Linked DNA regions of Saccharomyces cerevisiae S288C. The protein of the gene in region 1 interacts with the protein of each later gene in a pairwise test. Each region holds a gene or a part of one and is shown on either strand. Other genes may lie near its edges.

The links.
Region 2: the proteins of STD1 (region 1) and PSY2 interact in a two-hybrid assay, tested with the Saccharomyces cerevisiae proteins (2 studies listed by BioGRID).
Region 3: the proteins of STD1 (region 1) and RGT1 interact in a two-hybrid assay, tested with the Saccharomyces cerevisiae proteins (4 studies listed by BioGRID).
Region 4: the proteins of STD1 (region 1) and RTG2 interact in a two-hybrid assay, tested with the Saccharomyces cerevisiae proteins (one study listed by BioGRID).

The regions. Positions count from the first base shown.
Region 1 is NC_001147.6:415,847-423,277, reverse strand, and holds STD1 (Std1p), read left to right. Parts: upstream 1-5,596; coding exon 5,597-6,931; downstream 6,932-7,431. Other genes in the region: phospholipid-translocating ATPase RSB1, read left to right, coding at 1-610; ssRNA exonuclease RAT1, read left to right, coding at 1,628-4,648; ATP-dependent RNA helicase DBP5, read left to right, coding at 7,371-7,431.
Region 2 is NC_001146.8:260,123-269,165, reverse strand, and holds PSY2 (Psy2p), read left to right. Parts: upstream 1-5,962; coding exon 5,963-8,539; downstream 8,540-9,043. Other genes in the region: mRNA-binding protein WHI3, read left to right, coding at 1-1,558; GCR2 (Gcr2p), read left to right, coding at 2,636-4,240; NNR1 (NADHX epimerase), read left to right, coding at 4,713-5,453; SPS19 (2,4-dienoyl-CoA reductase (NADPH)), read right to left, coding at 8,710-9,043.
Region 3 is NC_001143.9:361,351-369,648, forward strand, and holds RGT1 (Rgt1p), read left to right. Parts: upstream 1-4,254; coding exon 4,255-7,767; downstream 7,768-8,298. Other genes in the region: NFU1 (Nfu1p), read right to left, coding at 1-478; PTM1 (Ptm1p), read left to right, coding at 1,272-2,843; AIM26 (Aim26p), read left to right, coding at 8,015-8,298. UniProt on the Saccharomyces cerevisiae protein: Glucose-responsive transcription factor that regulates expression of several glucose transporter (HXT) genes in response to glucose.
Region 4 is NC_001139.9:23,826-32,076, reverse strand, and holds RTG2 (Rtg2p), read left to right. Parts: upstream 1-4,592; coding exon 4,593-6,359; downstream 6,360-8,251. Other genes in the region: RMR1 (Rmr1p), read right to left, coding at 1-167; HFM1 (DNA helicase), read left to right, coding at 441-498, 651-4,156; HXK2 (hexokinase 2), read right to left, coding at 6,682-8,142. UniProt on the Saccharomyces cerevisiae protein: Required for a novel path of interorganelle communication between mitochondria, peroxisomes and the nucleus, thereby maintaining a functional metabolic interaction between the tricarboxylic acid and glyoxylate cycles.

The DNA.
Region 1 (7,431 bases):
AGTTGCATCGATGGCCATCTTTCTTATGTTATGGTTTCACTTCCTTTTCCGTATATATATATCGGTAAGATGGGAACACATAAATTCTAGACCTATCTCATTGAGCCTCTTAAAGATATCGCAAACAGAAGTTGATTATTTATACAGGGAAAAGTTCCATTTTTTGAGACTCGAACCTAAACGTTGGGTTTTTCATTATTTTAATCTGGCAATAACCGTTGCGGTACTAACCATTTTTACCCGTTGTTGTTACCGTTTGGCTGAATTAGTTGTCGGTTGGGATGGCTATCTGATCACACACGAGTGGTATTTTATTATCTTAGATGCATTAATGATGGCCATCGCTACGGTCACTTTGACCATCTTCCACCCTGGATTTGCGTTTAAAGGTAGAAGCACCTCGATTCCAATCACACCGGGCCATGTTGATCCTGAAACTTTACCACATACTGACGATGTTGAAGATATCTTAGATACTTCGGATTCAAAACAATTTGATATTGAAAAGGAGGAATTCCAAGCAAGCATGAAATACCCGATTAGCACCTTCAAACAATTCATGTCCAAAATAGCTAACTTGTTTTCCTCTAAAAAGAAGGCTAAACTTTAGTGATACGTAGAATTTGAATGTCAATCTGATCGTTCATATGCATTTTTCAATTCTTACTTTTTTTCTCGAAGTTCCCGACTATGTTCTGTTTATTTTTTCTCCTATTCAAAAGAACCGGACAGCATTTTTACTTCCTTATATTTCGACATCGTAATATGTACATTTTTTAGTTCACAAGTATTTTTCCCCTTTCAATGCTTTAATCAGCCTTCAACGTCATACATACTTTCTATTTTGTTCCTGTGCCATCGTATAACTTTCCTCGTTTAGTGTTTTCGCCTCAGCTTAATGTAGATCACTGTTTTGACGTTCTTCCATTTTTGGGAACGAACTAAACTAAAAAAAAGAAAACTACAGAGTTTCCCATAGAGAACAGAAAATCCGCTATCGGCAGCTTATAGGGTCATATAATTATGGCGCACATAAGGAAAATAAATTTATTTGAATCAATCAACAGACCTATCTGTTGATATATGAAAGAGAGCAGGAGCGTTAGTTTACCTCCATAAACAGTAAAATTAAAGCAAAAAAGCGTAACTGCTGATTGAAGCCTATATCACCGGGCTAAAATCTTATATCGGTTAAGAAAGTGATTAATTTATAGATATGTTCACGAAATCTTTTCTATTCAAAGATTCACGAATTTTACTCGATTTTTATAGTATACTGAAACAAGTAGTTGTAAAATCAATTCACCAAAAAAGCTTTCCCCATCTCTGATGAAAAACTACGAAAAGTTTACTATCACATAATATCGGAAGTACGTTTTTAAGGCACTGCAATGTATTTTATAATCTTGAACATTTGGAGGTATATTACCTTACTTTCTCATCAGGTTGTATATTTGAGCGTCTCGGGAATGATAAGTCGGGTAACGAGAGTATCTAGATAAGATTTTCAGCTATGGCAATAAAAAACCAAACCTCATCGATGAACCTATTACAACATAAAGACATCCCGTAATAATTAGTGAGACAGGTTCTTCAAGGAAGTGCTACAGCCAAGTTTCGTAATATAATGGGTGTTCCGTCATTTTTCAGATGGCTATCTCGAAAATATCCAAAGATCATATCCCCAGTATTGGAAGAGCAACCTCAGATAGTCGACGGTGTCATATTGCCGTTGGATTATTCCGCCTCAAATCCAAACGGTGAGTTAGACAACTTGTATTTGGATATGAATGGTATTGTTCATCCATGTTCGCACCCAGAAAACAAACCGCCTCCAGAGACTGAAGATGAAATGCTTTTGGCAGTTTTTGAATATACCAATCGTGTGTTAAATATGGCTAGACCACGCAAGGTACTTGTTATGGCTGTTGATGGTGTTGCTCCTCGTGCCAAAATGAACCAGCAGAGAGCGCGTAGATTTAGGAGTGCTAGGGATGCTCAGATTGAAAACGAAGCCAGGGAAGAAATTATGAGACAGCGAGAAGAAGTTGGTGAGATAATCGATGATGCCGTCAGGAACAAGAAAACTTGGGATTCAAATGCGATCACTCCAGGCACCCCATTTATGGATAAGCTTGCCGCGGCCCTCCGTTATTGGACAGCATTTAAACTGGCCACTGACCCTGGTTGGAAAAACCTGCAGGTGATTATCAGTGACGCCACCGTCCCAGGTGAAGGTGAGCACAAAATAATGAATTTCATTAGGTCTCAAAGAGCTGATCCTGAATATAATCCCAACACAACGCACTGTATATACGGTTTGGATGCTGATTTAATTTTTTTGGGCCTTGCCACTCATGAACCACATTTTAAAATTCTAAGAGAAGATGTTTTTGCTCAAGACAATCGGAAAAGAAATAACTTAAAAGATACTATAAATATGACTGAAGAAGAAAAACAATTTCTCCAAAAACAAAATTCCGAACAACCTTTCTTGTGGCTGCACATAAATGTTTTGAGGGAATACTTGTCCGCTGAGTTATGGGTTCCGGGTCTTCCATTTACATTTGATTTAGAAAGGGCTATCGACGATTGGGTTTTCATGTGCTTTTTCTGTGGTAATGACTTTTTACCACATTTACCATGCTTAGATGTCAGAGAAAATAGTATTGATATTCTCTTGGATATTTGGAAGGTAGTACTACCGAAATTGAAAACGTACATGACCTGCGACGGTGTCTTGAACCTCCCTTCTGTTGAAACGCTATTGCAACACCTTGGCTCCCGTGAGGGGGATATCTTCAAAACTAGACATATTCAAGAAGCCAGAAAGAAAGAAGCTTTTGAAAGAAGGAAAGCGCAGAAAAATATGTCAAAAGGTCAAGACAGGCATCCTACAGTAGCTACGGAGCAACTGCAAATGTATGACACACAAGGAAATTTAGCAAAAGGTTCATGGAACTTGACCACCAGTGATATGGTAAGGTTGAAAAAGGAACTGATGCTTGCGAACGAGGGGAACGAAGAAGCAATCGCCAAAGTTAAGCAACAGAGTGATAAGAACAATGAACTGATGAAAGATATCAGCAAGGAAGAAATTGATGATGCTGTTAGTAAGGCTAACAAAACTAATTTTAACCTTGCAGAAGTTATGAAACAGAAAATAATAAATAAGAAACACCGTCTTGAAAAGGATAATGAAGAGGAAGAAATTGCTAAGGATAGCAAAAAAGTTAAGACAGAGAAAGCGGAATCAGAGTGCGATCTCGATGCAGAGATCAAAGATGAGATTGTGGCTGACGTAAACGACAGGGAAAACTCTGAAACTACAGAAGTATCAAGAGATTCACCAGTCCACAGCACAGTGAATGTCAGCGAAGGTCCCAAAAATGGGGTCTTTGATACAGATGAATTTGTCAAACTATTCGAACCTGGTTACCACGAAAGATATTACACAGCTAAATTTCACGTTACTCCTCAAGATATTGAACAGTTAAGAAAAGATATGGTAAAATGCTATATCGAAGGGGTCGCCTGGGTACTAATGTATTACTATCAAGGTTGTGCCTCTTGGAATTGGTTCTATCCGTACCATTATGCTCCTCTGGCAACAGATTTCCATGGGTTTTCTCACTTGGAGATAAAGTTCGAAGAAGGTACTCCATTTTTACCTTACGAACAATTGATGAGTGTTTTACCAGCTGCATCTGGCCATGCTTTGCCAAAAATTTTCCGGTCTTTGATGTCTGAACCTGACTCTGAAATCATTGATTTTTATCCTGAAGAATTTCCCATAGATATGAATGGTAAGAAGATGTCCTGGCAAGGCATAGCGTTGCTACCATTCATCGATCAGGATAGACTGTTAACAGCTGTTCGTGCACAATATCCTTTACTTTCTGATGCTGAGAGGGCAAGAAATATTCGCGGAGAACCTGTTTTATTAATAAGTAACAAGAATGCTAATTATGAGAGGTTTTCGAAGAAATTATACTCAAAGGAAAACAACAACAACAATGTTGTTGTGAAGTTTCAACACTTCAAGAGTGGTTTAAGTGGTATTGTATCAAAGGACGTTGAAGGTTTCGAATTAAATGGGAAAATTGTATGTCCGATTCAAGGTGGGTCACTGCCAAATTTATCTACCACCTTGATTTTAAAGATGTCCTATAGATTAATTCCGTTGCCATCGAGAAATAAGTCTATTATACTGAACGGGTTCATTCCGTCAGAACCGGTACTAACAGCATATGACCTTGATTCCATAATGTACAAGTATAATAACCAAAATTACTCCCGTCGCTGGAACTTTGGTAATGATTTGAAGCAAAATATTGTTCCAGTAGGACCAAAGGGTATTACTCAGTACAAACCAAGAACTGGTGGCTATCGAGCATTCTTTTATTTTGCTGAGCTCAGTAGAAATAATGTCCAACCCGCCCACAACTATGGTAGGAATAGCTACAACAGTCAACCCGGCTTCAACAATAGCAGGTATGATGGTGGAAACAATAATTACAGACAAAATTCAAATTACAGGAACAATAACTATTCCGGAAATAGAAATAGTGGACAGTACAGCGGCAACAGCTACTCTCGGAATAACAAGCAAAGTCGGTATGACAATTCAAGAGCAAATAGGCGTTAGAACTACTCGTGCGCATTTTATTTTATGGTAAATTTAGGTTTTCGCAAATTTATAAAATCTTCATACAATTAAAAAAAAGCTCTTTTAAGATAATAGTGTCTGCTCTTACAAACGACGAACAGTAATATTTTATAACAAAAAATGGAACATATTAAGTTAAGAGAAAATCATGCTGAAGCATGAATATATGAATATACGTCCTCTTGTAAAATAGCGAAATCCTTGTAAGCCAATAGACCGAACTCTATTTTGATTTATACGCTTCGTGTATTTTTTCTTCCAGATCCAGGAGAAAAAGCATGGTCTGTTCTTCTTTTTTGAAAAGAGAGGCAGTCCACGGCGAAAGTTTCGAATACGGCACTACCTTTTTTTTCTAAGTTCCTAAACTTAAAATCAAATTTGGTCTTTGGTCTGTTATCATCCAGGGATGAATGCAACATATTGGGAAGTTCATGCTATACAACGCCAACCCCTTCGCTCAAGTCACGAAAGCACATCTTACACTTCCTCCTTGGCCAATATGCAAGCGTCCTCTTCAAAAAATCTTGCAACAAACAATCGGGTAATGTGGGATGTTGTGGAAAAATGAAATAAAGTTTTCAATAAATCCGACTGAGCTAAGCAGGAAAATTTTCGTACGCGGGTTTTTGTCCAATTTTTTCCCTTCCTTTTGAAAACACGGAAAATCTTTTAGCGAAGGCTGCTCTTAGTTCCATAACGGAAAAATTCCAGGAGTTATTAAAAGACAGAGTTATAGTTTAGTAAATTTTCTTTTGAGTTAACGAGAGAGGGACGTTTTCGAACTAAATAGAGGAGAAGAAAGGCTTCAAGAAATATCGTACCGTAGGAAACCAGTTTAATATATTAGAAGCTCTCATTTACCTATCATTTTCGTTACCATCGCGATTGTAGGAGGTTTTGCACTACTTAACAGACAAATAAAACGAGATGTTTGTTTCACCACCTCCAGCAACAGCGAGGAACCAAGTATTAGGGAAAAGAAAATCGAAAAGACATGACGAAAATCCAAAGAATGTTCAACCCAACGCTGACACAGAAATGACAAATAGCGTTCCTTCTATTGGATTCAACAGCAATCTTCCACATAATAACCAAGAAATAAACACACCAAATCACTATAATTTGAGTTCCAATTCAGGAAATGTTAGGAGCAACAACAATTTTGTTACTACACCACCAGAATATGCAGACAGGGCAAGAATAGAAATCATAAAAAGGTTATTGCCTACTGCAGGAACTAAACCTATGGAAGTGAACAGTAATACTGCAGAAAATGCAAATATCCAACACATAAATACCCCGGACAGTCAAAGTTTTGTTTCAGACCATTCATCTTCATACGAATCGAGTATATTTTCACAGCCATCTACTGCTCTTACGGACATCACCACAGGCAGCTCGTTAATTGATACAAAAACACCTAAGTTCGTCACAGAAGTAACACTTGAAGACGCTTTACCCAAAACATTCTATGATATGTATTCTCCCGAAGTTCTGATGTCTGATCCAGCAAATATACTTTATAACGGACGTCCTAAGTTTACAAAGCGCGAATTGCTGGACTGGGATCTAAACGATATACGATCCTTGTTAATTGTGGAACAATTAAGGCCAGAATGGGGTTCCCAGTTACCGACGGTAGTGACCTCCGGTATAAACTTACCGCAATTCAGACTACAATTACTTCCCCTAAGTTCCAGTGATGAGTTTATAATAGCGACATTGGTTAACTCAGACTTATACATAGAAGCAAATCTAGACCGCAATTTTAAGTTGACAAGCGCAAAATATACAGTTGCATCAGCAAGAAAAAGACATGAAGAAATGACTGGGTCAAAGGAACCCATTATGCGTCTATCAAAGCCTGAATGGAGAAATATAATTGAGAACTATTTATTAAATGTTGCCGTCGAGGCCCAATGCAGATATGACTTTAAACAAAAGCGCTCCGAATACAAGAGATGGAAATTACTAAATTCAAATTTGAAAAGGCCTGACATGCCGCCTCCAAGCCTCATACCGCATGGTTTTAAAATACATGACTGCACTAACTCTGGTAGTCTTTTAAAAAAGGCTTTAATGAAAAATTTGCAACTAAAAAATTATAAAAATGATGCTAAGACATTAGGTGCTGGTACACAGAAAAATGTCGTTAATAAGGTTTCTCTAACTTCAGAGGAGAGGGCTGCCATCTGGTTTCAATGCCAAACACAGGTTTATCAAAGGTTGGGGTTAGATTGGAAGCCTGATGGAATGTCCTAGTAAATTTTTACAACAACGCAAAAACGAAATACCCCACTATTTAACCACTTAACGACATTAATATTAATTACAAAAGTGTTTGATACACGTACTATTATAGATTTCGACGACCTTTAAGATTAAGTAATACCTTTAATAATTTTAATATATTTTAAGCCTACTGCTCTAAAATTGCCCAAAAAAAAAACCCAAAAAAATCAACATTTAAATATGATGATACTCCCATATATATCGTATTTAAAGAATAACTCTGCTGTTGTCTTGATTATTTGATTGTTACATTATTATCAACGCGGTATTACCCGTATGCAAATTTTTCAATCAAGCAAAGCATTGCAAAATTTGCATTACCTTTAAAACCAGTTGACCTTTATACACCATAAAATACTCGATCAGCAACCAAGAACATCTATAAAAATACTTACCACCTTAGATCGGAATGAGTGATACAAAGAGAGATCCGGCCGATTTACTAGCTTCTTTAAAGATTGATAATGAGA
Region 2 (9,043 bases), on another chromosome or scaffold:
TTCTGCCTCATTAGAAGACGAGAATGATATTTTTATCATTGCCAGATTTGAGTTATTGAATCTAGCTATTAATTATGCCGTTATTTTGAATTCGAAAAATGAACTCTTTGGACCCAGTTTTCCCAATAAAACAACCGTTGAAATAATAGATGACACAACAAAAAACTTGGTTTCATTCCCATCATCTGCCATTTTCAATGACACCTCAAGATTGAATAAATCGAACTCGGGAATGAAAAGGCCAAGTCTGTTATCACAAAGATCCAGGTTTTCATTCAGCGATCCATTTTCCAATGATTCTCCTTTAAGCCAACAGCAATCTCAACAGCAGCAGCAACAGCCACAACAGCCACAACAACACTCTACGCAAAAACATTCACCACAACAATGTAATCAACAACAAGTGAATTCTTCAATACCGTTATCTTCTCAAGGCCAGGTTATTGGGTTACATTCTAACCATTCACATCAAGATTTGTCTGTGGAATCAACAATTCAAACATCTGATATTGGCAAATCTTTCCTTTTGAGAGATAACACTGAAATTAATGAAAAGATATGGGGCACAAGCGGTATACCTTCCAGCATCAACGGTTACATGAGCACTCCCCAACCTTCTACGCCAACTTTAGAATGGGGAAATACTTCTGCATCCCAACATGGTTCTTCGTTCTTTTTACCCTCTGCAGCATCGACAGCCATTGCACCTACGAATAGCAACACCAGTGCCAATGCAAACGCCAGCTCCAACAATGGAGCCAGCAATAATGGTGCTAACCAGGCACTCTCTGCCAGCTCGCAACAACCAATGATGCAAATTGGTAACACGATTAACACTTCCCTAACCTCTTCAAATTCATTGCCTCCATACGGTTTAATGTCTTCTCAATCGCAGCACATTTCAAATATGGTAAACACCTCTGATATGAACATTACACCTCAAAAACAGAACAGATTTATGCAACAACCCCAACCAGAGCATATGTATCCTGTGAATCAAAGTAACACTCCTCAAAAAGTACCGCCCGCAAGATTAAGTTCAAGTAGAAATTCACACAAGAATAACTCTACTACCTCATTATCCTCAAATATTACTGGATCTGCCTCGATTTCTCAGGCTGATTTGTCACTACTAGCCAGAATTCCACCTCCTGCCAACCCTGCTGATCAAAATCCACCTTGTAATACCCTTTATGTAGGGAATTTACCCTCCGACGCTACTGAGCAAGAACTAAGACAGCTATTTTCTGGTCAAGAAGGCTTCAGAAGACTATCATTCAGGAATAAGAATACCACATCTAATGGTCATAGTCACGGACCGATGTGCTTCGTTGAATTCGATGATGTCAGTTTTGCAACCAGAGCGTTAGCTGAATTGTATGGTAGACAGTTACCTCGCTCCACTGTGAGCAGTAAGGGAGGTATCAGATTAAGCTTTTCAAAAAACCCACTGGGTGTTAGGGGCCCAAACAGCAGAAGAGGAGGCAGTGGTAACCCAAATCCTAATGTAAATATGCTTTCCAGTTACAATTCTAATGTTGGTCATATAAAAAACTAAAAAAATGGTTCCGCAAAAACCTGATTTCCTTGCATGTATCACATTATATGCATTGCTTTTCATCTTTCCCCCACTATAATAAGAATAATATTTTCTGTCGCATTTTTTCTTTTTCTTTTATTATTTGTTATAATAATATTTTCTAAACCGACTAATAATAAGAATAACATCGATAATACTTTATCTCTTCAATTACGTTAAATTATCTTTTTACTATTACATTACAACGTGCATATAACAGAAATTTTTTCTTTTTCTGTCTAACATTTGAATTGTACTATGAATTAAACCCGCCATCTTTTTTCTTAACTACCATTTTGCGAACTCCTATACCGCTTCTGCAACAACAAGAACTTTTATTTTCAATTTTAATGTGCCATTCATTCCATTTTGCTTGCGCTAATGTGAATAAGATTGAGAGGGAAAAGTCTCACTATCGAATATCGCTCTTTAGTGTGATTATTGTCATCAAAGCACCAAGTGCTTAGGTGAGGTCATATCCGACAAATGTTTTGAAGAGAGAATATCTTTTTTTTATGCTGCCAACTTTTATTCTTTCCTTGTTTAAAAAACTCTGCCTTTGGATATTCTCCCACTATATATATGTATTAGCCTTACTTTTATTCCAGAACTCATTTTTATAGAAGTATATATCGGTATCGACTTCAATGTAATATTTTCAACCCTATGCTACAAGAGCAGATTAAAAAAATATGGGCTACCAGTGGCAAGAACATATTTGATATTTCGAAGTTCTACTTTGTTTATGACCGAACTGATCAATTTTATGAATGTCTTTCAATGGAATCTCAATACGGGTAATAACGTCATATTTCTTATTTTTCTTGGACAATTTGTCCAAAATAAAATTTTCACGACTTTTCTCCTTCAAGTACCGCGACTTCTGCGATAGTTGTCCGTTAGACATAATAATCATTAACGCATCCATAAGGTGCTTGCGGTCTGTATTTGACTTTCTTCACATTCTTACGCCTAGACTGAATGGGAAAACAACCAAGAAACCAAAAAGGAACCTGAGAACACAAAGAGTATTTGACGAAAAGTTACACTCACATAATGCATCACCAAACTAAGTTAGATGTATTCATAATCAGAGCTTATAATTTACTGTCTAACGAGTCTGTCATTAGTGGTGCTTCCTTGCAGAGTGTTACAAACTCGCCACAGACGACAACGAACACGCCCTCAGGTATGGTTAACGGGGCGGTTGGAACAGGGATAGCTAATCCAACAGGGTTGATGGGGTCTGATAGCACACCTAACATCGATGAGATTATAACTAGCACTGGTAGTAATGCTCTGACGAAAACCAACTCAGATAGCGCTAATGGTACGCCGAATGGTAATTCAAGTTCTACCTCAGCCATTAGCAATGCAAGCAATCCTGCCACTACTGGTAATAATGCGAGCTCTAGTGCCACCTCAAATGGAATATATACGCAAGCGCAATATTCTCAACTTTTCGCCAAAATATCAAAACTATATAACGCTACACTATCATCTGGGTCAATTGACGATAGATCAACATCACCAAAATCGGCAATCGAACTATATCAAAGATTTCAACAGATGATTAAGGAACTAGAGCTGAGTTTTGACGCAAGTCCTTACGCAAAATACTTCCGCCGGTTGGATGGAAGGCTTTGGCAAATAAAGACAGACTCAGAATTAGAAAACGATGAATTGTGGCGATTAGTCTCAATGAGCATATTTACAGTATTCGATCCTCAGACCGGCCAAATTCTAACTCAAGGACGCAGGAAGGGAAACTCCTTAAATACATCAACTAAAGGCTCCCCATCAGATTTACAGGGAATAAACAACGGGAACAATAATGGGAACAATGGTAATATTGGAAATGGGAGTAATATTAAGAACTATGGAAATAAAAACATGCCAAACAACCGAACGAAAAAAAGAGGCACCAGGGTGGCTAAAAATGCTAAAAATGGGAAAAACAATAAAAATAGTAATAAAGAGAGAAACGGCATTACAGATACGAGTGCATTCAGTAATACAACAATAAGCAACCCAGGTACCAATATGCTTTTTGATCCATCATTGTCTCAACAGTTACAAAAACGACTGCAAACGCTATCACAAGATGTCAATTCTCGTTCGTTGACAGGATATTATACACAGCCAACCAGTCCTGGCTCAGGAGGATTTGAATTTGGTTTGAGTCATGCAGATCTGAACCCCAATGCTTCCAGTAATACCATGGGCTATAATACAATGTCCAATAATGGATCCCATTCGTGGAAACGAAGGTCACTGGGATCGTTAGATGTTAATACGCTGGATGACGAAGCGGTGGAAGAACTTTTGCAACTGACAAATACGAGTAAGAGGCAGAGGCCGATGACAACTGCAGCAGAGGGTGCGTTAATAAATGATGGTCCGGACACTAATTTAAACGCGAATAACACCCAAATGAAAGTTGATTTAAATCCTTCAAACAGCATGGGACCTATAGATACAGAAGCCGTGATACGCCCATTGAAAGAAGCTTATGACGCAATCATTTCTGAAAAAGGCCAAAGAATTGTGCAATTAGAAAGAGAATTGGAATTACAGCGCCAAGAGACGCAGTGGTTAAGGAAAATGTTAATTGAAGACATGGGTTGTGTTAGAAGTATGTTAAGGGATTTACAAAGATGACACGATAATAATGTTTAACATATATTGCTTTCTCTTTTAATTTTCTGGTGTAGATTGGCGGTATAATTAACTATTTAACAGTGACGTTTACTATCTTACTGTTTCTTGTACTCTTTTATAATGAACAGACGTTATTATATAACTACGAACTAATGATAATTCTTTTTACGTTATTCCTGATGTAAAGGATACAAAATGGGTTTCTTTATTTTGCAGCAGAACCGTAAAATTTACGCTACTTTTACCGTGGGTCCTCTTATTTGATTGTTTCCGTCGCTACGAGCGAACAAGGGGTGGAGACAATAGGGATGGTGAATATATACACATACGTTCATATATAAGAAAAAAACTCAAGAAGAATATCAAACGACCAGGATCCTTGCTTATATTATTGTCTGTTGCTGGGCCAACACATATTTTCATTTCAACACACCAATCTCAGGTATTAAAGAGAAATCATTGTAAGGTAAAAATGTCTACGTTGAAAGTTGTTTCATCAAAGCTTGCAGCTGAAATCGACAAAGAATTGATGGGTCCTCAAATCGGATTCACTCTACAACAGCTAATGGAGTTAGCTGGGTTTAGTGTCGCGCAGGCTGTATGTCGCCAGTTTCCACTGAGAGGCAAGACAGAAACGGAAAAGGGCAAACATGTATTTGTTATTGCTGGGCCAGGTAACAATGGCGGGGATGGTCTCGTGTGCGCAAGACATTTGAAGCTTTTTGGTTACAACCCTGTTGTTTTCTACCCCAAGAGAAGCGAGCGCACTGAATTCTACAAACAGCTGGTTCACCAATTGAATTTTTTCAAAGTTCCTGTCCTGTCTCAAGATGAGGGAAACTGGCTGGAATATTTGAAGCCGGAAAAGACCTTATGCATTGTAGATGCAATATTTGGTTTTAGTTTCAAGCCTCCCATGAGAGAGCCATTCAAGGGCATTGTCGAAGAACTGTGCAAAGTGCAAAACATTATCCCGATTGTTTCGGTGGACGTCCCCACAGGTTGGGACGTTGACAAAGGTCCGATCTCTCAGCCCTCAATTAATCCTGCTGTTCTTGTATCTCTGACTGTCCCCAAGCCATGCAGCTCTCACATAAGGGAGAATCAAACAACTCATTACGTGGGGGGAAGATTCATTCCTCGAGATTTCGCCAATAAATTCGGCTTTGAGCCATTTGGATATGAATCCACAGACCAAATATTGAAACTCTGATAGCCCAAATCTATAATGCCACTACCATACATAATTTTTATATAATCCCTTATTTTGTGAACAAATAGCCATCATGATTCTCTTTTAAGATGATAAAACCGTCGTTTCTTTTTCTGACGCGCCATCTTTTCTTTTTCTATCTGTCTTTTTTTTTTTTCCTTTGGTGTTTCATCCGAAGAAGAAACAAAAGAAAGAAGACCAATACTTTCTAAAGGGCAATTGCAAGGTAGATATAACTAGAATTGCACAATAGAGATTGCTTGCATCAGTGGCATAGTTAACAATATTTTCTCGGCCTCCTTTGACGTAAAATCTAAAAGACCTAGTGCTTTCAAAACCCGCGCATACTGAAAAAAAAAAAAATAAAGAAGAGTGTACTGAACTGGTACTATAATTCATCGAAACTCATTTATTCCATATTAAACCGGTAGAAAACAGTATTTTTTTTGGTCTGTGTTTGAAACAGAAATTCTAACTGAAAAGTTTAGGATTTACGTATAGTAAGAGTAATGTCATTACCGGGTACACCTACTACATCTCCGACCCCGATGGATGAGGATACTGAACAAGCCGTTTCGGTTAATACTGAACCCAAAAGAGTAAAGGTTTACATTTTAGAGAACAACGAATGGAAAGACACAGGTACAGGGTTTTGTATAGGGGAGGTGGACGAAGGTAAGTTCGCATATCTTGTTGTCTCAGATGAAGACTCCCCAACTGAAACTTTACTAAAATCCAAACTAGAAGGAAATATTGAATATCAACGGCAGGAGGAAACGCTTATTGTTTGGAAGGATTTAGGGGGGAAAGATATAGCCTTGAGTTTTGAAGAAAGTATGGGATGTGACACCTTATGTGAATTCATTGTTCACGTCCAAAGGAACATAGAGTCAAATATTTCTTTAGTCACCGTAAAATCCAGCGACAACGGACTCGGGTCTGTTCACGACATTATAACGGGCCCTGTGACCTTGCCCTCCAACGACCAGCAACAGAATAGTCAAACTTTACTAGAAGCTCTAAAGATTTTGAATGAAAATACTTCTTTCGATTTTTTGAAAAACGAAACCATTGAGTTTATCCTCCAGTCAAATTACATTGATACACTGATTTCTCATTTCCACAAAGCAGAAGAAGAAAAGATACCGAAGGATTTATTTTTGCTAAGTAACATCATCAAAACTTTGATACTTTACAATAAAAGAGACATATTGGAGTCAATGGTGGAGGACGATAGGATTATGGGAATAGTTGGGATTTTAGAATACGATACTGAATACCCTACATCAAAGGCAAATCATAGGAAATATTTAGGATCAAAAGGTCCCAATTTCAAAGAGGTTATTCCATTGGAAAATGAGGACTTAAAAATAATAATGAAAAAATGTTTTCGCTTACAGTTCTTAAAAGACGTGGTATTAGTACGATTTTTAGACGATCATAATTTCAACTTAATCTCGGAAATTGTCATGGACCTGGAAACGTGTATAATCGACTTTCTTCAAGTAGGGACGTTTTTGGACAGACTAATAGAGCTTTATGATACCAAAACCCTTCCAGAAAGCTCTTCAGAGAAGGAGAAGTTTGTACAAAAACGAAAAGACGGGATTAGATTGTTGCAACAGTGTGTTCAAATGTCAATCAATTTAGATGCGGTTGACCGTTCTAAGTTCTATAAAACACTTGTTCGAAAGGGTCTATTCAAAGTTTTAGATTATGCATTTCACATGGAGACGGATAGTAATGTTAGGATTTTAGCTACGGATACTATCATTACTATAATCGAACACGATATCTTGTTAATTCACAACGTTCAGAATGAAGATTCTTTCAAACGGCAACATAAATCAGCGCCCGATGACAAGTCTTCCCATCGGAAATATCCGCAGGATTACAGCTCCAGTACTGATTCCAAGTTGTTATTGATACTTTCAACCATTCTTCTGTCCGACAGGAGTCCCGGATTGCGAGAACAAGTTGTGCAAGCGCTAAATACTTTGCTTCACCCTGAAGGATGTGTGGGTAATGGAGAAGGTTCATATGATCTTATGGGCAGATCAAATTATGAAGCTAAGAACACATCTGAAGATTTCCCAAGTTTCAGTTATGGTTTAAACTCGGATTCAATCAATTTAAATAACTATCACTATAGCAGCGATGAAATGAATAATCTAGAGCCAGAATCTGAATCTGAATTTCAAGTAATGGAATATTTTGCAAATTTCTATAATAAAATCGCACCCATACTGTTTGGTCCATTAATCAAGAAGGATATCACAACGGAAATGGCAGAAATAGATGGGCAAATAGAAAAGGTTACAAAAGACGATCTTTTGTTAATTCATTTAGTGAAATTGGTATCATTTGTTTGCACTGAGCATGATCGTGTCTTATCCAGAAGATTCATATTAGAAAACGGTATACTAGATTCTGTTAGCAAACTTATCGGCGGTAATCATATGATGCAGCTAAGGTTAACAGCAGTAAGATGCATTAAAAACCTTATGTGTCTCGATGATAAATACTATCATCGATATATGATTTCAAAAAATTTATATGCGCCGGTTTTTAAACTCTTCCAGGAGAACATAGATAAGAATAATCTTGCAAATTCATGCATTCAAGATTTTTTCCGCATTATTATAACAGAATGTAGAGCTTATCAAAGTGATGGCCATAACAGAAAGGAAAAAACCAATGGTTCTTATGATGGCAACGGTAATGACGTCAAAACGAACGTGAACAACAATAGGACAAACTTTACCATTTTAAACAAATACTTAGTTCAAACATATGGTGATGTCTTGAGAAAAGCTACTGATATCCCTTTCATCCAGGATATGCTAGAAACCGGGGAAGAAAACCAACCCGATCATTCTAGCTTTGAAAATAGCATTGAAGGGGGGAATGACATTTCTGTAAATATGTCAACAGATGGATTTGCTTCGAATCATTTAGAAGATATTGACATTAAAAACGTCAAAAGATTACATTCTGAGATTGAACACTTTGAAAATGACCCCCATTATTCTGGTGATCAGTTAGCATTTAAAAAAAGCGTTGACCAAATGAATGCAAGTACTTGAGTTTTTCCTTGTTGGAAAGAAGAATAAAAAGCTAGCACAACGGTCATGGTTGTAAGAAGTTTAACAACGATAGTGCACTCATTGTATATAAAATTCATCAATATACAATTAACTATCAAAAAGCATACGAGAAAGTGTCATATAATAATAGTACTCAATACCTATACGTATTATAATTTAGATGTCATACTCTTTATTAAGGCTTCTGGATACAACTCATGTCCAAAATAGGTCCCTAAATGCCACATACCACCGTCAACAACTAAGACGGTACCGGTGACATACGATGCGGCGGGTGAAAAAATATAAACAGTAGATTCGGCTATATCCCGTGTAGATCCAAGCCTTTGTAATGGTATCTTTGCCAAGGCCTTTTCCTTATATTTTTTGCCGGCTAATCTCTTCAAGCCTTCCGTATTATCGATAGCACCTGGAGCAATGCAATTCGAACGTATACCCAGAGGCCCCAACTCAACCGCTAAATTCTTTGCCAATGCGTCTATT
Region 3 (8,298 bases), on another chromosome or scaffold:
GCTCTTCAATCAATTCGCTGACCTCTTCATCTTCTTCGGTAAGTTCAAATTTGGGCATATTTATTTTGTAGCCACCTTCTCCTTCTTCTTCTTGGACAGCATGGAATTCTTTGGATATAACATCTTCACCGTAAGCAAGTTGCTTGGTTAACAAATCTATAATTTCAGGCTTGATACTATTCCAATGGACCATTCTGTCTTTATTAATAGTGAGAAAATCATCACCTATCATTAAAGACTCCACTCCTGGACACTGCAAAAAAATTTGCTGTGCTAACTTGGAATGGTTGATGAGGTTTTCATCAGTGTTCTTAATAACTATACTCTTGGAGCCACGCGTCTGTAGCATCTCGCCATCTGTGGAGAGAAATTTTAAAGCATTTTCATTTGGAGTTGTTAAAGTCTTAATATGAATTAATCTCTGAGAATTTAAGTAAAAAATCGGAGACTTCCCCAATTTAGCCACTGATTTGAACATTGTTAGTCAATTTCTTGCTTTTTTGCTTAGATTACGCTGAGAATGCCTTATGTATTCTAATTAGTCCGCTAAATACGCTTCTTTTTATAATGATTAATAAGCAATATTGTAAGTAGATCACTGAAATTCGGAAAACTTAAATTATTTATCACTTGATACGTTAGAAGGCTATTTCTACAATCACCAGGACTCCGCTAAGTGGTCCTATAGATTTGATGAAATGCCTGCTTTGACGGTCTTGATGATACAAGCTAACGCTTAGCATGTTACTATACTCAATGTACATTGTTTTATCCTCAAGAGACCGCAGACGTTTCAATTTTGTGTTTAAAAGAACAATGGACAGTATATACGTAGTGCCAATTTTCTTCTATGGTGTATTATGCGCATTGAACATTGTAATATCCGTAATGTTGAACATAATTTGGGAATTGCTTCCGAATCTTCAACCTTCATGTATACCTCTTTTCGGCTAGAGTGTGGTACTTTAATTACTGCTTAGTTGTTTTGCCCGATTTAGATATTGCACCCGTGCACGTCACACATAAGCTTGGTCTTTTAAATAGTGTGTGAAAAAACGAACTTGAAGAAAAAGATAGAGCAAGATATATATAGGAGTAGGAATAGGGAGAGTGGAAAAAAAAACTTAGCCTCAAACTAATAGTCAAGAGGATCAACTATTCTGTTCAGGTTTTGCAGGTTAAAAATTGAAATAGAATATTTTCTCGGTAATTTCAAGAAACAGCTGGTAAAAAGGCAGTAAATTTACAGAAACTAAGAGTGTAAGGGCACAATGAGAGTATATCAGTTTTGCCGACCTTTCCAATTATTCACCTGCTTCTTATGCTACCTTCTAGTGTTCGTAAAAGCTAACAAGGAAAAGATAAGTCAAAAGAATTATCAAGTATGCGCAGGTATGTATTCCAAAGAAGATTGGAAGGGCAAAATAGACCCGTTTATATCATTCAATCTTAAAAAAATAAGTGGATTGAGTGATGAGTCTGATCCAGGCTTAGTCGTTGCAATCTATGATTTCCAAGACTTTGAGCACTTAGGTGTGCAATTGCCGGATGAAGAAATGTATTATATTTGTGATGATTATGCAATTGATATCGGGATTTGTGAAGAGGAGAATCGTGATGAGTTTATTGTTCAAGATGTTGTATATGATCCATATACTTCCACAAATAGATCTTTGGCCAATCCAATCATGACGTTTTCTCAAAATGAGGTCGGCCTTCATGATACTAGATACCCAATAAAAGAAACCGGATTTTATTGTGTTACTGCGTTCAGATCATCGACGTCTACCAAGTTCAACGCTGTGGTGAATTTCAGGAATGCTTATGGTCAGCTTGCGGGCACCGAGATCAACAAATTGCCACTATATGGTCTTTTGGCGGTCGCATACGTTGTGGCGATGGCGTTATATTCCTTCGCCTTCTGGAAGCACAAGCATGAATTGTTACCATTACAAAAGTATTTGCTGGCCTTTTTTGTATTTTTAACCGCAGAAACCATATTTGTATGGGCTTACTATGATTTGAAAAATGAAAAAGGTGATACTGCGGGAATAAAAGTTTATATGGTGTTCTTGTCGATATTGACGGCTGGTAAAGTTACATTTTCATTTTTCCTATTATTGATTATCGCTTTGGGCTACGGTATCGTGTACCCTAAGTTGAATAAAACGTTGATGAGGCGTTGCCAAATGTATGGTGCGTTAACTTATGCAATTTGCATTGGATTTTTGATCCAAAGTTATTTGACCGACATGGAGGCACCATCTCCACTAATCTTGATCACCTTGATTCCTATGGCGCTTGCATTAATCATATTTTACTACATGATTATTAGATCCATGACAAAAACAGTTATCTATTTGAAAGAGCAAAGGCAGATCGTAAAATTGAACATGTACAAGAAGCTACTATACATCATTTATGCGTCCTTTTTGAGTGTACTAGCTGGTAGTATAGTTTCGTCATTTATTTACGTTGGCATGAACACTATTGATATGATTGAGAAGAACTGGAGGTCAAGGTTCTTCGTTACTGATTTCTGGCCTACGTTAGTGTATTTCATTGTTTTCGTTACCATCGCGTTCTTATGGAGACCAACAGATACTTCATACATGCTAGCCGCATCCCAACAACTACCCACAGACCCAGAAAATGTCGCGGACTTTGACTTGGGCGATTTGCAATCGTTTGACGATCAAGATGACGCAAGTATCATCACTGGTGAGCGTGGCATAGACGAGGATGACCTCAATTTGAATTTTACTGATGATGAAGAAGGACACGATAATGTAAATAACCATAGCCAAGGCCACGGGCCAGTGTCTCCCTCTCCAACAAAATAACGCTACCTCCAGCAGATTTGATTAGGTGATGAGACAAATAGTTTCTTCGAGGGCAGTCACGAAATGTTTACAAGCGAAAAGAAAGAAATTATGAACCATATGCACTTCTGTTCAATGCGATGTGAATATGAATATGAATATAAATATGAATATAAATAAATAAATAAATAAATGCGTTGCACGTTTCTTTTCATTTATTTGTGCGTGCTTTTACCTGTTTATAACTGTAGTCACCAAAGCTATGCTATACTCTAGACCTAACTTTTTCGTTTTGTATTTATTTAGCCGCTCGCTGGAGTTTTTTTTTTTTCGGTGATAAGATGATTTATATCAAACCGAAACAAGCGAAAAGTTTCTGTTCATCGACTATAAAATGGAAGAGAAAATTGGTCCATAGACTTTTCATGTGTACTTGTTTATGAGAAGAGACGCAGGAAGACCAGAAGTGAGGAATTCCCTTTGTTCAAGGATGAACAACGAAGCCAGATAACGTAAGGTTGCGCGCTGCATCAGTGCTAACCTTATTAGCTTTCTCTGGCTTTTTCGGTCTTTCCTATGTAACATAACATGTATATTCTATTTGTTTATGATGAGACCACGTCCTTAGTGACAATGCTATAAACCCAGCTCTTCGATTCGTTTTTAATGAAAGGGAGAAGATTTTTTTGTCAAACGCTCTGAGTAATAGAATATACATGCGACAACATTTGTAGTTACTTGTCTTACGCTTCCTAGGGAACGGATCATCCGAGTAGAATATCATTTTACGGGATCACTTTATTCGGTGTGATTGCTCGTTAAGCCGCACGACCATTTTATGGGCACGCTTCCGCAAGTTGGTTCTTTCATCAGAAGCTTTACCACGATTGGCAAGTCATGTAGCATGTGCGCTAACATCGTTTATCGTTTTCTGTGACGTGGCTTATGAGCACCAGAGACGAATAATCAACAGTACATCAAACAAAAGCTACGTCACCTCACCAATAATCCGAGCTTCTTGAAATGGCAGGTATTGGATTCATAAAATATGTCGCTGCTTTGTGCATTTTCCTTTAGTTTTTTCCTTTTTTTTCATGTAGCTAACTAAGCAAGACGATTATGGGAAGGGACCTTTTAAGGAAAAACAGGAAAAAAAAATAGTAGCAACTAGTAAAAATTCAAAAAATAAAAAAAGTCAAAATAAGAACACATCAGTTAGGAACCGTGCTTGGAGTTTTGAGACTGGAGTATTGTCCATCCAACATATTCTGCTCTTTCACCATAGACTTCGTTGGAAATCGCCTCTCCCTTGTACTATATTGTGCAGAACCGTTCCCGCAATTTTCATTGGTGCAATAATAACACGCTTCTTCGATTCTCACATTTGTCAAGAAGCTGTACTCTTCTCTCAAACTCCAATATATTTCAAATTATGAACGAGCTGAACACTGTTTCGACTAACTCCAGTGACTCCACCAAGAACGGTGGTACATCCAATAGTCCCGACGATATGGACTCCGCAGCAGCAGCAAGTCACGCAATAAAGAAAAGAACAAAGGCCTCCCGGGCCTGCGATCAGTGTCGTAAAAAGAAGATTAAATGTGACTACAAAGATGAAAAGGGGGTCTGCTCAAACTGCCAAAGGAATGGAGACCGTTGTAGTTTTGATAGGGTTCCTTTGAAAAGGGGACCCTCGAAAGGCTATACGAGGAGCACCAGCCATCCAAGGACTAACGAAATACAAGACCACAATAACTCAAGGTCGTATAATACGTTTGATAATAGTAACAATACCCTGAATAATAATACGGGCAATAGCGGCGACAACGGTATAAACAGTAACACAGTTCCAAGTACCCCTTCGAGATCTAATTCAGTTTTATTGCCCCCACTGACACAGTACATTCCCCAGGCTGGTGGCATTCCTCCTAGTTTCCAAAATCCAGCGATACAATCAACTATGCCCGCGGGTAATATTGGCCAACAGCAGTTTTGGAAAGTGCCCTACCATGAGTTTCAACACCAAAGAAAAGGATCTATCGATTCTTTGCAAAGTGATATATCGGTAAGAACATTAAATCCCAACGAGCAGTTGTCTTATAACACCGTTCAACAGTCTCCCATAACGAATAAACATACTAATGATTCTGGAAATGCAAACGGAAGTGTCACCGGCTCAGGCAGTGCCTCTGGTAGTGGTGGTTATTGGTCCTTTATAAGAACTTCTGGTTTACTAGCTCCTACTGATGATCATAATGGGGAACAGACAAGAAGATCAAGTTCCATACCTTCTTTGCTACGAAATACTTCAAATTCTCTTTTACTAGGTGGCCAGCCTCAGCTTCCCCCACCTCAGCAACAATCGCAGCCACAAGCACACCAACAAAAGTTGCAACAAGGACAGAACCTATACTCGTATTCTCAATTTTCCCAGCAGCAACCGTACAACCCATCGATATCATCTTTTGGCCAGTTCGCTGCTAATGGTTTTCATTCTAGACAAGGATCAGTCGCCAGCGAGGCTATGTCTCCCAGTGCACCTGCCATGTTTACTAGCACATCTACAAACCCCGTAAATGTTGCACAGCAAACACAAAGACCTCAAGGACAGCAGGTACCGCAATTTTCATCTGAGTTGGATGGAAATAAAAGGCGACAATCAGCCCCCGTATCAGTAACATTATCCACGGACAGGCTGAATGGTAATGAGAATAATAATGGTGAAATTAACAACAATAATGGCAGCAATAATAGCGGTTCTTCTAAGGATACATCTCAACATTCCCAAGAATCTGTAACTACACCAGCGGCTTTGGAAGCATCCAGCCCTGGATCAACGCCACAGAGAAGTACAAAAAAACGCAGAAAAAGTTACGTATCTAAGAAGACAAAACCAAAGAGAGATTCATCTATATCTATAACATCGAAAGATTCTGCTCACCCAATGACCACTTCATCAACTATCGCGTATGGACAGATATCCGATGTAGATCTAATAGACACCTACTATGAGTTCATACATGTAGGATTTCCGATCATACCTTTAAACAAAACGACCTTGACCAGTGACTTATTGTTAGTTAACACACAGCCAATTTCCAATATACACGAAGTCAATTCATATGTTATTTTGTGGTTTAGAAATTCATTGGAATTGTTAGTTCGTGTTGCTCTGAAACAAAAGCCAGGTGGCAAGTTTTTCGATAATATTGTTGGCGTGGCTTTGTCGCCAAGTAATGACAACAACAAAGCTGGGTTCACTACAGCCACGGCAAGGGATGATGCTGAAAAAACAAGACGTGATTCACATAATGAAGTACAGGATACTTTGGAAGTGCAAAGCGTTTTTATTGCCGCCCTCAATGAATGTTTCCAAAAAATCGTGGATATTCATCCCAAATTCAGAGAAAACAACGACCAAATTTCGCCGAAGATCAAAGTCATTTATTTATCTACTTTTATTCTTTTAAATTACATTTTGGCATTTGTTGGATACGATAACTCATTTGTACTTGGAATGTCGGTGACAATTTTTAACGAATTTAAATTATACAAACTTCTATTATTTCCGGAGCCGGATATAAATGATGTGAAGCCTCCAGTTGATGAAGAGGTCAGCACTGGTAATGGGAATACAAAAACGTCCGAATTTGAAATTGGATCTGAAAGTGCTGGGCATATGAATCCATCCAATTCACCAAATTCCATGGACGAAAACATTAGTCACTATTCAGTGTTGTTTAAAAGATTATACGTTTTGCTTTCAGTGTTTGATTCTTTACAAAGCTGTGCATTCGGTGGTCCCAAGCTATTAAACATTTCCATCCAAGGTTCTACAGAAAGATTTTTTTCTAATGATTTGGGCTCAAAATGGTGCCTGGAACAAAGCCAATTGAGACTGAAAAGCGTCTTGCAAAGCTTGAAATTGGGTGAATTGATGAGTGAGCTTACCAGGAATAGAATATCAATGAACGGCAATAGGAAGCCTGGGTTCGATATTACGAACTCGTCTTCACTCTTATCGGAATATGTGGAAACTCAACCTCTATCCGTAGCACAGTTATTTTGCAAGCTATTAATTGGCAAACACAATTTCATCAATTGCTTATTATCATTATACGATTCAGAAGCAGGAGTCTATTCAGATTTGACATTGGATTTGAGTTCGAAAATAGCAGACTCTCTGTGCTCATTGATATCAATAATTTTGCAAGTATTGACGTTGATATTAAGACTGAATCCTACGAACAGTATTGATTTTAATTATAGACCACCGAACCCACCCGCTAATAATCCGACAGTGCAAGAGGGCCCATCTGCTATGGGCTCGTCTCCAGTCGCTGGGAACCTTAGCGCTGCACCTCCATCGGAGGGGAATCCAGATTTTTACAAGAAATTACTAGGCCTGAAACAAGACACTGGCACTATCCTTTCAGACCTTTGCCGGGGGATAATTTCCCCCTTTGCTATTGCTATCCTGCACGAGGTCTACAACATCACTGAACTGGTCAAGCAGATGCCTACATCACTCATTAGCATTATGATGACGGCAACTACAACGCAGAATACTCAGGACACCAAGAAGTCGCAGGACCTGGTCATGAAGCTGTCAAACTCGATGAATGAAGTAGTTCAAATCACCAGCGTGCTGACAATGATCAAGCCATTCAAGATCTTCGAGCACGAGCTTAATAAGCCCATAATGTCCCTGACAGGAGGACTTTCGTCCACGACCAGAAACGACGTCATGTGGCCAAAGTCGGGCCAAGGCCTCCGCGAGTCATCAGTCATGAAGACATTGCTTGATGAACGCCGTACTTCTGGTACACAACCGACAACGGCGCCAGTAGCCGCAGAGGAACCCAGGCTTGAGAACGTTGCCCTGGAAAATTTCGTTAGTATCGGCTGGAAGCTGTTGGACGATTCCGAGTTAGGCTGGTATTGACAGGTAACTATGCTCCCTTCTCCTGTAGGTCAGGTTCTCCCTTCTCCTCAGGCAGAAATTCGCGTAAAGAACTACCATGCAATGAATGACCAATTTAAGTAAAACACATAAATAATACTTACTTACACATATACACACTAGCTGTTTTAACCTGTAACAATACTGCCTTGTCAGAGTGCGCACGGCCTTTTACTCTGGTGCTCCACCATCTTCCACGGTATTCGAGAGTCGCCAAGCTCAGGGGCGCATGCAGACAATGGGCGGGGAGCACCTTCTTCTTTCACAGCTAAAGGGGTCTTTCTTTCTCCTACTTTTGGCATACTTTTTCAGGGGCAGAAGTCCTTATTACGCACGTTGCTACCGCCGGCTTGCTGTTACACCTGGTGCCATCACTATTGCCATTGCCATTGCTACAGATTCAATTCCGGCGCTTGCAAAGTCCAAAGTTCTGGTGTCGGTTTGTTCTCACACAGATCCCTGTACAGCGTCTTGTAACCTGATCCCCTTCCCCCGCCCCTTCTCGAACAGCCT
Region 4 (8,251 bases), on another chromosome or scaffold:
AATTCGCTTTTCATTAAAGTCTCTGCCACGTTGCGTATACGGGCGTCCGATGGTTGTTCCTCCACGAGTTCATCATCATACTCCAAAAGGTCTTCTTCATCGCCCTCATCCAATTGAACCCCGACGTCATCCACCTCCACTGTTTTATGCGCTTCTTCTTCACTCATCTTTGATTCCATTGATACCAACAAAAACAATCTTTAACTACGTATCTTTTCCTTTACGTATATATAATTAATCATATATACTTCCCTTTTTTATGCCTTGTTGTAGTTTTAACATATCATGTACCACGAATGGATGCAGGCTCGGCGGGTATTTAGACTTTGCCCCGGATTATAAACAAAACGGGACTATTAGTATCATCTATCAAGAAATCCTTTCATTGAAAATGATTGATACCTCAAGGTGGATTTGACAACTTAAGAGGCGTCGTAAGGATGAAAACAAAGTTTGATCGCCTCGGTACAGGAAAAAGAAGTAGACCCTCTCCAAATAGTAGTAACGAAGCTTAGCAACACCCTTATCAGTTTACACCATATCGGACAACAACAGTATTTTGACTAACATTGTTACCTCTTTCTTTTATTATCTAGCGGAAATGCAACCAAAAGTGGTTTTTCTGGACTAGAATTTCAGAGGACTTATAGATATTGACTTTAACGACCAGTCTGCTACATTTAAAAGAAATAAGAAAAATAGCCGCCAACCAAGTTTTAAAGTAGGTTTGTCTTATAACAGTTTACTGGATGATTGTGATGATGAAAATGAAACAGAGGAAATATTTGAGGGCCGTGGTCTGCAATTCTTCGACAAAGACGATAATTTTTCAATAACAGCAGATGATACACAAGTAACTAGTAAATTATTTGATCACGATTTAGAGCAGACACCTGATGAAGAGGCGAAGAAACCTAAGAAGGTCACGATAAGGAAATCAGCGAAGAAATGTTTGAGCACGACCATATTACCAGATTCATTCAGAGGGGTTTTTAAATTTACAGAATTTAATAAAATGCAATCAGAGGCTTTTCCTAGTATTTATGAGAGTAACGAGAACTGCATAATTTCTTCACCAACCGGATCAGGCAAGACTGTATTATTTGAATTGGCAATATTACGTCTTATAAAGGAAACAAATAGTGATACCAATAACACCAAAATTATATACATCGCGCCAACCAAATCTCTATGTTACGAGATGTACAAGAACTGGTTTCCTTCCTTTGTGAATCTTTCTGTTGGTATGCTTACTAGTGATACCTCTTTTCTGGAAACTGAAAAGGCTAAAAAATGTAACATAATAATTACGACACCAGAAAAATGGGATTTGTTAACAAGAAGATGGTCCGATTACAGCCGATTATTCGAATTGGTCAAACTTGTCCTAGTTGATGAGATTCATACCATAAAGGAGAAAAGAGGAGCATCTTTGGAAGTAATTCTGACAAGGATGAATACAATGTGTCAAAACATTCGGTTTGTTGCTTTAAGTGCAACAGTTCCAAATATAGAAGACCTAGCATTGTGGCTCAAAACTAACAACGAGCTTCCTGCAAATATTCTTTCTTTTGACGAATCGTACAGGCAAGTTCAGTTAACGAAGTTTGTTTATGGGTACTCCTTCAATTGCAAAAATGACTTCCAAAAAGATGCTATATATAATTCCAAATTGATTGAAATAATTGAAAAGCATGCCGATAATCGTCCCGTACTAATATTTTGTCCGACTAGGGCTTCAACTATATCAACAGCAAAATTTTTATTAAATAATCATATTTTTTCAAAAAGTAAGAAAAGATGTAATCATAATCCCTCCGATAAAATATTAAATGAATGTATGCAACAAGGTATCGCTTTCCATCATGCTGGAATTTCTTTAGAAGACCGTACTGCCGTTGAGAAAGAATTTCTTGCAGGTTCAATTAATATATTGTGTTCAACTTCAACGTTAGCTGTTGGTGTGAACCTTCCCGCATATTTGGTCATTATCAAAGGCACCAAAAGTTGGAACTCTTCTGAAATCCAAGAGTATTCAGACCTAGATGTACTGCAAATGATTGGGCGGGCAGGAAGACCTCAATTTGAAACTCACGGGTGCGCAGTAATCATGACAGACTCTAAAATGAAGCAAACATATGAAAACTTAATTCATGGAACTGACGTTTTGGAAAGTTCATTACATTTGAATTTGATCGAGCATTTAGCAGCAGAAACCTCTTTGGAAACTGTATATTCAATTGAAACTGCAGTAAATTGGCTACGAAACACATTCTTTTACGTTAGATTTGGGAAGAATCCAGCTGCATATCAAGAGGTGAACAGATACGTTAGTTTTCATTCCGTTGAAGACTCTCAGATAAATCAATTCTGTCAGTATTTGCTTGACACCTTAGTAAAAGTGAAAATAATCGATATCAGCAATGGGGAGTACAAATCTACAGCGTACGGAAATGCAATGACGCGACATTATATATCCTTTGAGTCGATGAAACAATTCATTAACGCAAAAAAATTTCTATCATTACAAGGGATACTAAATTTACTGGCCACTTCTGAAGAGTTTTCAGTTATGAGGGTGAGGCACAATGAAAAAAAATTGTTCAAAGAAATCAATTTATCGCCACTTTTGAAATATCCATTTTTAACCGAGAAGAAACAGAGCCAAATAATTGACAGGGTTAGTCAAAAGGTTTCTCTTTTGATTCAATATGAGTTAGGTGGGTTAGAATTTCCATCATACGAAGGCGCTTCTAAACTACATCAAACTCTTGTTCAGGATAAATTCCTCGTTTTTAGACATTGTTTTAGATTACTAAAATGCATGGTAGACACATTTATTGAAAAAAGTGATGGAACATCACTGAAAAATACTTTGTTCTTACTGCGAAGCCTGAATGGTCACTGCTGGGAAAACACGCCAATGGTTCTTAGGCAATTGAAAACAATTGGACTAGTTTCAGTAAGAAGGCTAATACGACATGGAATTACCAATCTAGAAGAAATGGGGCATTTGTCAGATACTCAGATTGAATACTATCTTAACCTCAAGATTGGAAACGGCATAAAAATTAAAAACGACATTTCTTTGTTGCCTTGTCTGAATATTAGAACAAAACTAGAAAATTGCAAAATAGAAAATGAAGAGTTGTGGTTGACATTTAAAGTTGAGATTAGTGCAACATTCAAGTCTAGCATTTGGCATGGTCAGCACCTCTCATTAGATATCGAAACCGAGAAAAGCTCAGGAGAGTTAATCGACTTTAGAAGATTGCAAGTTAACAAACTACAGTCACCAAGGGGCTTTAGAATTTCAGCAAAAATATCACCAAAACTAGAAAAAATAGAATTCTCAATTCATTGCCAAGAAATCGCCGGACTCGGCAAAACAATCGTATATTCCACTGATCATTTGGCATCACAGTTCTCTGCGAAGACACCAAATATAAGGAAAGATCTAAATAGTTTAGAAAAATGCCTCTTCTATGAAAGCAGTAGTGACGGAGAAGTGGGGAAAACGTCTAGGGTTTCCCATAAAGATGGATTAGAAGAATCGCTATCCTCAGATGATAGTATACTAGATTATTTGAATGAAAGGAAGAAATCATCAAAGGCGGTTGAATCTGCAGCAGTTATTCACCCGGAGGCACACTCTTCTTCACATTTTAGTAATGGCCGCCAAGTAAGATCTAATGGCAATTACGAGTGTTTTCATAGCTGCAAAGACAAAACGCAATGCAGACATTTATGTTGTAAAGAGGGTATTCCAGTAAAGTATATAAAAGAAAAAGGACCCTCCTCAATCAAGCCAGTATCAAAACCTGATCAAATACGCCAGCCACTGCTTGCAAAAAATATCAACACAACCCCTCACCTGGAAAAAAGACTGAATAGTAAACCAAAGCAGTGGCAAGAAGAAAATACAGATATTGCGACAGTTCATACACTTCCTTCAAAAATTTATAATCTATCGCAACAGATGTCGTCTATGGAAGCGGGTGAACAAGTCCTAAAATCAGGCCCCGAAAACTGCCCTGAAATAATTCCTATTGATCTTGAATCATCCGATAGTTATTCTAGTAATACAGCGGCGAGCTCAATAAGTGATCCGAATGGTGATCTGGATTTCTTGGGTTCCGATATAGAGTTTGAATGAGCGGCATGGCCGGGAACAATAGACATTACTGATATTCATTACCCCAATCCTTTCTGTTATTTGTATTGCTTCCCAACAGAAGTTAGCATGTGTGAGAGTTTACTTATAATGCTTTGTTTTTAAAATGCAGCCAGTGGTGAAACAATTGGAACCTTTACTATTTATTAGGGAACAAGATGACATTGTCAATTGATATATTACTATTGTTACATATCGTGCTATTTATCATTTCAATTATTAGTCACATGACCGCGATAAGCGATCCGGGTCAGAATGCCGAGATAGGATAACTTTGCCGGCGGAGTTCCTAGATCAATTGAAAGAATCGAAGTGAGATTAGTAATTCATTCATATGTACCTTTTAAAAAAGAAACTCACTCTTGGAAGTGTCCTTTACTAAGGATTGTTTTGAACGAAAAGTGTAGGCGTGCCACAAATGTCAACACTTAGCGATAGTGATACCGAGACTGAGGTCGTGTCGAGAAACTTGTGTGGAATCGTCGACATAGGTTCTAATGGTATTCGTTTTAGTATATCTTCCAAGGCTGCACATCATGCAAGAATTATGCCTTGTGTTTTTAAAGATAGGGTTGGTCTTTCTCTATACGAAGTTCAATATAATACACATACGAACGCAAAATGCCCTATTCCCAGAGATATTATAAAAGAGGTTTGTTCTGCCATGAAGAGATTCAAATTAATTTGCGATGATTTTGGTGTACCTGAAACTAGTGTCAGAGTAATTGCAACAGAAGCCACGCGAGATGCTATTAACGCGGATGAATTTGTTAATGCTGTTTACGGTAGCACTGGCTGGAAAGTAGAAATATTAGGCCAGGAAGATGAAACTAGGGTCGGCATATATGGTGTTGTTTCCTCATTTAATACAGTAAGAGGTCTATATCTAGATGTGGCAGGTGGTAGTACTCAGTTATCATGGGTAATAAGCTCGCACGGAGAAGTCAAGCAATCCAGCAAACCTGTATCTTTGCCATATGGAGCTGGAACTCTTTTGAGAAGAATGAGAACAGATGATAATAGGGCACTTTTTTATGAGATTAAAGAAGCGTACAAAGATGCGATTGAAAAAATTGGTATACCTCAAGAAATGATTGATGACGCCAAGAAAGAAGGTGGATTTGACCTTTGGACCCGTGGGGGTGGTTTAAGAGGTATGGGACATCTGCTTCTTTACCAGTCGGAAGGTTATCCCATCCAAACAATAATTAACGGATATGCTTGCACTTATGAAGAATTCTCGTCTATGTCAGATTATCTATTCCTAAAACAAAAAATACCAGGTTCTTCAAAAGAGCATAAAATATTTAAGGTTTCTGATAGAAGGGCTTTACAACTTCCTGCCGTTGGTTTGTTCATGAGTGCTGTTTTTGAAGCGATTCCCCAGATCAAAGCTGTACATTTTAGTGAGGGTGGTGTTCGAGAGGGTTCACTTTATTCTCTTCTTCCAAAAGAAATTCGTGCACAAGATCCATTGCTAATTGCGTCCCGTCCTTATGCTCCATTACTTACTGAAAAATATCTATATCTATTGAGAACATCAATCCCACAAGAAGATATACCAGAAATAGTAAACGAAAGGATTGCTCCTGCTTTATGTAACTTAGCATTTGTTCATGCCTCTTATCCAAAGGAGTTACAACCAACAGCTGCATTACATGTTGCTACAAGAGGGATAATAGCCGGCTGTCATGGATTATCTCACAGAGCTAGAGCGCTGATAGGAATTGCTCTATGTAGTAGATGGGGCGGCAACATTCCGGAATCTGAAGAAAAATACTCCCAAGAATTAGAACAAGTAGTTCTACGCGAAGGTGATAAAGCTGAAGCATTGAGAATTGTATGGTGGACGAAGTATATTGGTACGATTATGTATGTGATTTGCGGTGTTCATCCAGGTGGTAATATCAGAGATAACGTATTTGATTTCCATGTTTCTAAGCGTAGTGAGGTGGAGACCAGTTTAAAAGAATTAATCATTGATGATGCAAACACTACAAAGGTAAAAGAAGAATCCACGCGTAAAAATCGCGGGTATGAAGTGGTTGTGAGAATTAGTAAGGACGATCTTAAAACAAGTGCTTCCGTTCGTTCCAGAATTATCACGCTACAAAAGAAAGTACGCAAGCTATCTAGAGGAAGTGTAGAGAGGGTTAAAATTGGCGTGCAATTTTATGAAGAATAAAGACATCTAGTCTTTAAATACTTGAACAATAAATACGAAATCCTTATATAAGCATCTTTTACTACCAAAAAAATTTAAAATTAAGCAAGAGAAAAAAACGAGCAATTGTTAAAAGAAACTAAAATCATGTAGATTTCATAAATCGTCATATTCTTTGTCTATATAAATATTTATCGTCACGAATAAATCCCGTGAATTTCTAACAAAGTTTATACAATATCACAGTTGTAAAAGTAAGAAAAAAAAAGATCATAGAAAACATGTTCACATAAGTAGAAAAAGGGCACCTTCTTGTTGTTCAAACTTAATTTACAAATTAAGTTTAAGCACCGATGATACCAACGGACTTACCTTCAGCAATTCTTTTTTGGGCCAAAGCAGCAATAACAGCGGCACCAGCACCGGAACCATCTTCAGCAGGAACAATCTTGATTGGGTAGTCGTCTAGTGAGGTTTGAGTCCAGCCGTAAATGTCCTTCAAAGCATTGGCAGCCTTTTCTTTGAAACCTGGGTATCTGTTGTAAACGGAACCGTCTGCAGCGATGTGACCGGTCTTGTAACCTCTCTTTTGACAGATAGCAGCAATACCACAAACGGACAATCTAGCAGCTCTAGCACCAATCAATTCAGATAAACGTCTGATCAATTTACGTTCTTGAACAGTAGTGTTGATACCGAACTCATTTTGGAACAAGTCATCGGTATCTTCTAGGTTCTCGAATGGATCTTCCTCGATTCTGGCTGGGTAAGAAGTGTCCATGACGAAAGGCTTGTCGAACTTAGACAAGTCTTGGTTCTTGAAGATGAAACCTTGTTTGTACATGTCCATCAAGGCCAAACGCAAAATTTCACCTAAGTAGTAACCAGAAGACATTTTTTCAAAGGTTTGTTGGCCTGGTCTTGGAGATTCTTCATCAATGGTGATATCGTATTTAGTTCTTGGCAAAACGACATGTTCATTATCGAAGGAACCGTATTCACAGTTGATGGCCATTGGAGCAGATGGTGGAATGTCATCAGATAGTTTTCCTTGTAGCTTTTCGATATCGGAACAAACATCGTAGTAAGCACCATTGACACCAGTACCGAAGATAACACCCATCTTAGTTTCTGGGTCAGTGTAGTAAGAAGCAACCAAAGTACCGGTAGTGTCGTTTATCAAAGCAACAACTTCAATTGGGATATTCCTCTTAGTGATTTGCTTTTGCAACATTGGAACAACATCGTGGTTTTCAATGTTTGGAATATCAAAACCTTTAGTCCATCTTTGCAAGATACCTTCATTGATTTTGTTTTGAGAAGCTGGGAAAGAAAAGGTGAAACCCAATGGAATTGGCTCAGAGATACCTTGTGGGAATTGCTCATCAATAAAAGCTTTCAAAGAGTCGGCAATAAATTCCCACAATTCGTCTGGATTTTGAGTAGTTCTCATAGCATCTGGTAATCTGTACTTAGATTGAGTGGTGTCAAAGGTACGGTCACCGCCCAACTTGACTAAGACAACTCTCAAGTTGGTACCACCCAAATCAATGGCCAAGAAATCACCGGATTCCTTACCAGTTGGGAAATCCATAACCCAACCTGGAATCATTGGAATGTTACCACCCTTCTTGGACAAACCCTTTTCCAATTCGGAAATGAAGTGCTTGGTAACGGCTTGTAAAGTTTCAGTTGGAACAGTGAAAATTTTTTCAAAATTCTCAATTTGTTGCATCAATTCCTTTGGCACATCGGCCATGGAACCCTTTCTGGCTTGTGGTTTTTTTGGACCTAAATGAACCATTTTATTTAATTAGCGTACTTATTATGTGTGGAGAATTATATTCCTACAACCTTTTCAAAGAAAAAGCGAAAAAATATTAAGAAACTTTGAAGTTAAGTTATAAAAGTTA